Linked DNA regions of Macaca mulatta. The protein of the gene in region 2 binds, or shares a complex with, the protein of the main gene of each other region. Links are inferred from orthologs where the notes say so. Each region holds a gene or a part of one and is shown on either strand. Other genes may lie near its edges.

Region 1 (4,526 bases), on a different chromosome or scaffold from region 2:
AATCCATCAACAGGATGATTTCGGCCTTAAAAGAGAGCTCACTTGAGTGGTAAGACTGGGTTCTTTCTCTGCAGTTTCCAAATTCTCCATGATGACTTTTATAAACAGGAAGACAATTTCTTAGGTAGTTGCCATTTGGGAACACCTACTACATTTCTTATTGAATCCGCACAACTTTTTCAAGTACTGTCCCATTTTATAGATGAGGAAAATGAGGGACAGGGCCTATTTCCTTAAAGTCACAGGAAACAGAGTTGAAAAAAGGTTTTTATTTTACAAACTGTTCTTTCCTCTATACTGTGAAGGAGCAGAAGCACAAATCTAGTAAAAAACAAACTTCCCAAACCTCGATTTAAAAGGTTTTGGAACTGGTTCTCATTCCCTAACAGTAACTGAAAATGACTCAGTAGAAAGTCATCATTTTTTTAAGGTTTTTATTAAAACCTGCCAAATTCATTATCTGAAATAAACACAAGTACACATCTCATCTCTGCACTATTATCGTAAACTATATTCTTGTTTAAAATTTCTACTTTCATTCCATAAAATATATTATCGTTTAAAATTTCTACTTTTATTCCATTATTGCCCAGTATTTTAAATAAGTGAGATGAATGTTTAAAAATATAAAAAAAGCATCTTATAAACTTTTGTGAGAAAGCTAGCAATAGGGTGAACAAGGCCTAGCTAGAGGTCAGGGATCTGCATGTTTAAGGGTAAATGAAATCCTTATTTTTTGGACTAATTCTTATCTGGTGGAATATGAAGTGCTCGATTCCACCTGGCTTATCGGCTAATTTCTGCATTACCTTGGATAAATGCCATTTGCACACTCCCTACCAGCCCTTAGGTGCATTGCAGCCTCTGTGTCATTGTGTGTGACATCACTTGGTTGCTATAGATATAGGTGCGAGGTCACTCGCTTTCCTGTGGAACTAGAAATACGGAAAAATTAGAAGAGTCTAAATTAAATAACACGAACTGAAGATATTTCCAATACTGATACCCATTAGAAGTGCAACTTACATCATTTGAGCATTAAAACCTTGTAAGACAGCAGCTGTGGCCATAGCAGTATTCCGAATTTCAGAACCGGTTCTCTTCTTTAATAAGACAAAAACATTTCTTTGTTAAAATACCTGGTTTAAATGTAAAGGTATCAGCATTGTCCTCTTTTGAGAACCAGTAAAGTTATTCAAGAATTGATCTGTAATATCAATAATGCTTCATTTAAAAGATGTAACATGCAAGGTACACTCCAGCATCCACTTTACAATGGAGATGCATTTGAAAAACCTTTGTTACATAAGGCAGGAAATTAAATATTAAGATAGTGGGGGCCCGAAATCATTAATTTTCTACCTTTCATTTCATAATGTTCAATACTTCCCCCTCCTCTAATATCAAACTGGTTGACAGCCCATTAGATAAATGTAGTGTTACTGACAAAATGGTGCAATACAGGGAGGAATCTGCAACCCAGACAAAATGCGACAACTGGAGATCAGTATTCTCTTTTCATCAGCATGAAGACGTACTCGCTTTAAAAAAAAAAAAAAAAAAAAAAAAAAGCCTCAGATGCATCTAACGACCAAAAATTTTTAAAAAGACTTTTTCCCCTTTAAAATAACTCCTCCCAGCCTCCACCCAGTCTAGGCTCTCTGCAATATGACAAATGCAGAATCTTCTGGAATGACTTGATACTGCCTCTCACCACCGCTTTGTTTGCACTATCAGATCAGACAGAATATTTTTTCCCCCAACTTATAGGAATTTCACAGACGCGTGCCTGTATTCAAAAAAGAAACGGCATATGTCACACGGATCGAACCAGTCAGCTACATTCACCACCTTTTATTTTACAGGCAATACCTACCCTTTTCAATACAAAAACATTAGGGAATAAAATGGAGATGACATGTTGAAAACGATCAACGAAAACGCTAGCGAGACAAACGTTCCCCCTTCCTAAAAGCCGGAGGACTTGCTTTGGGGGAATGGAGAAAGAAGAGCCTTTTGTTAAGAAAAACGTGAGCAAGGTGGTTTCGATTTTGCGCCACGGAGCTCAGGTTTTCAAGAGACCCTATACAATGTTTCTGGGAAGATTCACAGGGATCTGTCGGGACAGACAGTGGGGAAGATTTTGGGGGGGCTGGGGAGGTGGAAAACCGGGAGACCTGCTGAGTGAATGGGAAAGGCGCCGCCCAGACACCAGGGAGAGAAAGAGGAACCGCATCCATGCGGTCCCCCGCCCCCACGCCCGGGCTGGGAGGAGGGGGGAAGTGGGGCACAAAGGATGCGCACGCCTCCCCGCTCGGATCCCCTGTACCCCTAGAGCCGCTGGGACCGGAGACCCCGCTCCCAAGTCCAGCCCCGCAGGACCCCGCCCCGCCCCGCGCCCGCGCCGGGCCAGAGAGGCCGCGCCGCGGGGCCCCGGGGACGCCGAGGAGAGGCCGCGTCACAGCCCGTGTTCCCGTCGGCTCTGGGGACCCTCCCCGGCCCCCCTCAGTGAGCGAGACGGGGCGGTCACCCCACCATCGCGACAGGGCGACGAAGCCCCGGGCCTTCCACGCCAAGGACCGCGTCTTCGGAGGGGCAGGGAGCGGCGGGGGAGGGGAGGAGACACTCACGTTCTTCATGGCCGCGGCCATGTCGTCGTAGCGCTCCGCCTGCTCGGCCAGCCGGGCTTTCTGCACCAGTTGCTCGCGGTCCACCATCTTCGCGGAGCTGGGTCTGGCCGGAGAAGGAGGAGGACACTGGGGTGGCGTGAAGGGCTTGGAGGGCGCGATTGGAGCCCAAGTGCCGGAGAGGACCGACCCACGGAGCGAGCGGCTGAGGCGGCGGCTGCGCGGAGGAGGCGGCTGGAGCTGCGACCGCGGGACCGGGAGCGAGGCGGCTGCGGCTGCTGTGCGTGCCACGGACGGACAACCCCCTGCGGCCCCGCCCACGCCGCATGACGCAGGCAGGCCCCGCCCGCTCGTCCGCAAGCCCCGCCCAGGCCCCGCCCGGGCCCGGCCGCGGCTAGAGCTCCCCGCTCCCCAACTCGGCTCACTGCGCGTCTTCCGGGCACCACGTCCTTTCCCACTGCGCCCCCACTCTCCTCTTTATTCACTTCACTCCTCAGTTCCCTCACCCCAGCTTCTCCAGACGCCCCCTTATCCCTCTCCCTTCAGCCCCCCGCCCCGCCAGGCCTCCGACGCATGGGCCCTTGGGAGTTGTAGTGTAACCTGCCGTGGGCCGAGGCGTTGAGAAGACCGAGGACAAAGGGGCGGTCAAGACTACAACTCCCAGCGGAGGTAGCGCGCAGGCGCAGGAGGACTGGGGGGGTGGTTCGAATCCCGAGGCCGCTGGGGACCCCTGGCGGGGATCAGGGCTGCATCAGTCCCTGCGAGTGCTGATTCACCGCCCCGCCCCATATTCTCCGGGAAATTACGAGAGGAGGGGGCAGGGGCCTCAGTCCTAGACCCTGTTTCCGAGATCACGTAGCAGGTCGTGGTGGGGGAAGGATAGGAGGCGCGTCCTTTGTAGATCCAGACTCTCAGTGTGGTGCCTGCCCGCGGGATGGCTGAATTAAGGGGCCAGACTCGGGGGACTGTCACCTCCTCCCCCTACGAGCTTCCACTAACCCCCCACCCCACCTTGAGGCTCTTGGGCCTGACTAGGTGAAAACAAGGACGAACGACAAATACCGGCTGGCCACACTGGTTGGTTTCCAGAAAGGATGCAGCTGCCTGCTGGCTGACCCTGGAGAACCCCTTCTTCCTCTCCAGGGTGGAGTGCTAAAGATTCAGTTCAGCTACCAGGAGCCTACTCCACGCCTTAACGGGCTGTGTCTGGGGCTTAGTTGTCCAGCCCTTCTCTCCCCTCCTAGGCATACGTACCTACTGAGGTCACGCTGATATATTCTCGTTCATATTATTCCACGTAGCTTAAAGATAGACTAGGTTTTTTTGCTTTGTTTTGTTTTTTGTAGAGACGAGGGTCTAGCTTTGTTGCCCATGCTAGTCTCGAACTCCTGGGCTCGAGCGATCCTCACGCCTCGGCCTCCCAAAGTGCTGGGATTACAGATGTGAGCCACCATGCCTGCAGGCCCCATAGTTTTGACTACACATTTTATTTACTTTATGTATTCAACAATTATCTGTGAGAAGCTACTGTGTTCCAAGCCCTATTCTAAGCCACAAGGTACAGTAGTGAACAAAACAGAAAAAAATCCCTTCCCAAGAAAATAGGCAAGATATGTACAGTATGCTAGAAGTCAATAAGACGTGAGCTTTGAGGTTGCAGTGAGCTGAGATCGTGCCACTGCACTCCAGCATGGGTGACAGAGCGAGACTCCATCTCAAAAAAAAAAAAAAAAAAAGGAAATGAGCTTTGGCTGGTCTTGGTGACTCACACCTGTAATCCCAACACTTTGGGAGGCCGAAGCGGGTGGATCATCTGAGGTCGGGAGTTCAAGACCAGCCTGGCTAATGTGGCGAAACCCCATCTCTACTAAAAATACAAAAATTAGCTGAGCGCCTGTA
Region 2 (3,851 bases):
CTGTGCCCAGAAGCCCAGAATGCATGAGCTCTGGCCTGGACTTTACCAGGCAGAGGGGAGCCTGACCCCCACCCACGTTGAGTGCCTGAGTGGGCGGGCATCTCTCTCCAGTCATGGGGACAAGCACTCACTAACCCACAGTGTAAGCTGCACACGTAAGCCTCACGCCCAAGAGAGCTTTATCAGGAGGGAAGGTCATTATTCAATTTCCATCTGACTGATTCCCGCTTCCACCTTGTATCTCCCATTTAGAGTTTGGCGGCAAGAACAGATGTTTATCAGGTCACTCTTATGCCCTGACTCTGGGGGCAGTCTCGGGAGGTCCCAACTTCCTTCCTCACCCTGTTTGTGCATCTGCTCATTCCCCTCCCACCATGACTGGAGAATCGAAGTTACCATAATCCCGGTGGAAAGGAAGTGGCACTCACGTCAGCTTCTGCAGGGCGCACTGGGAGACCCTCAAGGCATCACTGAGAGGCGTCACTCCCTGGTCTGTCACCTCATTTCCTGCCAGGCTCAGAGACTTCAGGCTGGGAGAGGTCGTAAGGATTTGGGAGATCTTCAGGTAACAGGCGTGGGTCAATCCACAGCGATCCAGCCTGCAGAGACAGGCAGCATGAAGCAATCCCAGCTCTCGCCCAAAGCAGCCCATTTCCCCTCTACTCAGCACACGCCAGTGGCACTGGCCATTTTCCTGGTCCTCAGACTCTGTCTGCTCCTGCCTCTGGGCCTGAAAATTTGCTATTCCTTCCATTGCAACCTCCCCTCCTCCCCCCTCCCTCAGGTCTTCATGGGGCTCATGTCCTCGTTCATGTCTCTTGAAGGTCGCCTTTCGGGTAAGCCACACCTTAAACAGTGCCTGCCCCACCTCCCTCCATTGTTTCAACATTCATAGCAACGCACCCCAGCCTTTTATTTTTATTTTTTTTTTTGAGACAGGGTCTTGCTCTCGTCACCCAGGCTGGAGCGCAGTGGCTCAGTCTTGGCTCACTGTAACCTCCGCCTCCCGGGTTCAAGCAAGTCTCCTGCCTCAACCTACCGAGGAGCTGGGATTACAGGTGTCCTCCACCACACCCGGCTAATTTTTGTATTTTTAGTAGAGACGGGGTTTCACCATGTTGGCAAGGCTGGTTTTGAACACCCGACCTCAGGTGATCCACCTGCCTCAGCCTCCCAAGGTGCTGGGATTACAGGTGTGAACCACTGTGCCTGGCCTGTGTTGAATTTTAGACAGAACTTTTAGAGCTCTCCAAGCCTACACATGCTCCTGCCATGTGTGCACACATCATTCTTTCTGTCTTGTTTTGTTCTCCCTGTGCTGGCCTGTGAGCATCAGGAGAGCAGGAATCTCGTTTCACTCATCAGCACATCCCAGGAACTTGTCGTAGTACTACACACAGAATCAAGCATCTGTCATTATTGAATAAAGGAAAGTTCCAACTCCTCAATGTGACAGTGAATGGAAACCCTTCACAATGTGGCCCAATCCATCTTTCAATGTCAAAGTCTACCGTTTAGAGACTTAGCTCATCATCCCATCCCTCTGTACAATAAATACTTTGGGGAATACGGGCCAAGTGTTGGGAATAGAGCAGTTCTAGGTTCTGGGGCTACAGGAGTGAAGAGAATAGAACAATACCCCTGCCCCTGTGTGTTATGAGAAGGGAAATTCATTAGACTTCCAGGAAACTGGACCTAAGTGACTTCAATGCTTTTTCCTTTCTTGGCCCCAAATAGCCTAGATCCATCTTTTCTGACAACGTGTATATTTATTCTTTGAATCCAAGCTCCAGCTCTCTGCACTTGTGGTGCAGAGTGAGCAAAAGAGTGAGCATGTAGCTTCCTCCAATCTGTTCCCAGATAAACCCCACGTGAGGTCAGGCACAGCATTTCCGTCCTGAGACGATGTCTATGCTTTGGCCAATTTCCCTGGGTTACATCTTTTTAAAGTACAGTTCCTTGGCTACCAGGCAAACACACACGGTGCAAAGCAAATTCTTATTATTCTTTGATGTTAGTTGATGTGCCAACTAACAAAGCTCAAAGCAGGGCTTGTACTTGTCTGTCTCAGAATATTTGGGAGGGTGCAGCAGGTGGATCACTTCAGGTCAGAAGTTCGAGTCCAGCCTGGCCAACATGGTAAAACCCCCATCTCTACTAAAAATACAAAAATTAGCCAGGTGTGGTGGTGCACGCCTGTAATCCCAGCTACTCGGGAGGCTGAGGCAGGAGAATCACTTGAACCCGGGAGGCAGATGTTGCAGTGAGCTGAGATCACACCACTGCACACCAACCTGAGCAACTGAGCTAGATTCAGTCTCAAAAAAAAAAAAAAAAAAAAAAAAAAAAGGAAAAGAAAAAAGGAAAAGAATACTACATAAACATTAAATAGTTGTATCTCTAGACCAAGCTAATCTAATGAACAAACCACCTTCCCAGGACTTGCAAACCACAGTGAGAGCCCCAAACCGGAACCAACCAACCAACCAACGTGTCCCTGGACAGGGGAATGGTTCAACTGCAGTACTTCATAGCATCGAATGGCTGTCGCCAAGAGAAAGGAAGAAAATGTCGAACACTTGACTGCTTGGGTGGATCTCAAGCACTGACGGAGCAAAGCCCGTCTCAGGCGACGACATACCACACTGACTTCACTGTAAGAGCATTGTCAAGGCCGGGCACGGTGGCTCACGCCTGTAATCCCAGCACCTTGGGAGGCTGAGGTGCACGGATCATGAGGTCAGGAGATCAAGACCATCCTGGCTAATATGGTGAAACCCTGTGTCTCTACTAAAAAAAAAAAAAAAGAAAAATAAAAAAAATGAGCCGGTCGTGGTGGCGGGCACCTGTAGTCCCAGCTACTCGGGAGGCTCAGGCAGGAGAATGGCATGAACCGGGTAGGCAGAGCTTGCAGTGAGCCGAGATCGCACCACTGCACTCCAGCCTGGGCAACAGAGCGAGACTCCGTCTCAAAAACAAACAAACAAACAAACAAACAAAAAAACAGACCAGACTGGGCAACCGAATGAGACCTTGCCTCTGCATAATTTTTTTCTTTTTCTTTTTCTTTTGAGATGGAATCTCGCTCTGTCACCCAGGCTGGAGTGCAGTGGTGCCCTCTCGGCTCACTGCAAGCTCTGCTTCCTAGGTTCAGGCCATTCTCCTGCCTCAGCCTCCTGATTAGCTGGGACTACAGGTACCCGCCACCACGCCCGGCTAATTTTTTTTTTGTATTTTTAGTAGAGACGAGGTTTCACCGTGTTAGCCAGGATGATCTCGATCTCTTGACCTTGTGATCTGTCCCCGCCTCGGCCTCCCAAGCATAAAAATTTTTAAATGAAACTTTGAGGTTTTTTTTTATTGTGATAAAGTATTTATAACCGAAAATGGACTATTTTAATTATTTAGGTGTGCAATTCAGTGGCATTAAACTCCTGCAACCATCACCCCCATCCACCACCAAAACTTTTTCAGCTCTTTAATTTTTGCCTCTTTCTGTAATTATTTCCAACAAAAGCAAAAACGAAGAAACAAAAGGCAAAAGCCCTACCAGAGACGCACCTCAAAGACTCCAACAAACATTTTGGGTGTTTTAAGGCTTCACACGCCATCCTTACATCCTCTTCCTTCAGGTGGGTGCCTCCCAAATTGAGGGATCTTAGGTTACGGTTGGCAATGAGGGTTCTCCAGAGGTGCTGCAGACCAGAGGCAATCTGTGCGTTCCTAAACCTGCAGGAGACGGGAAACGGGAGATGCATGTGACACTGGTGACGTTTTGTTGTGACCTCACTTATCCTTCCCATCCTTCTCCCATTCTAACTTGCAAATTTCTAATTGTATTTCCTTGTAAA

Evidence for each region. Proteins that work in one complex are often made in the same cells at the same time.
Region 1: the proteins of NLRP5 (region 2) and YWHAG are in contact, whole or in part, in a cryo-EM structure (PDB 8XI3), measured with the Mus musculus proteins. The link is inferred for Macaca mulatta from reciprocal best matches to the Homo sapiens genes NLRP5 and YWHAG. Residues at the interface, in NP_035990.1 of Mus musculus: Ser1030, Cys1031, Ser1055, Gln1058, Cys1059, Pro1060, Val1061, Glu1084, Phe1087, Val1088, Lys1089; in NP_061359.2 of Mus musculus: Phe201, Tyr216, Thr220, Met223, Gln224, Arg227, Asp228, Thr231, Ser235.

The regions. Positions count from the first base shown.
Region 1 is NC_133408.1:49,994,472-49,998,997, reverse strand, and holds the start of YWHAG (14-3-3 protein gamma), read right to left. Parts: upstream 2,957-4,526; 5' UTR 2,718-2,956; coding exon 2,631-2,717; exon of another isoform or gene 1-2,630. UniProt on the Homo sapiens protein: Adapter protein implicated in the regulation of a large spectrum of both general and specialized signaling pathways. Binds to a large number of partners, usually by recognition of a phosphoserine or phosphothreonine motif.
Region 2 is NC_133424.1:68,394,920-68,398,770, reverse strand, and holds part of NLRP5 (NACHT, LRR and PYD domains-containing protein 5), read right to left. Parts: intron 3,730-3,851; coding exon 3,562-3,729; intron 600-3,561; coding exon 429-599; intron 1-428. UniProt on the Homo sapiens protein: Component of the subcortical maternal complex (SCMC), a multiprotein complex that plays a key role in early embryonic development.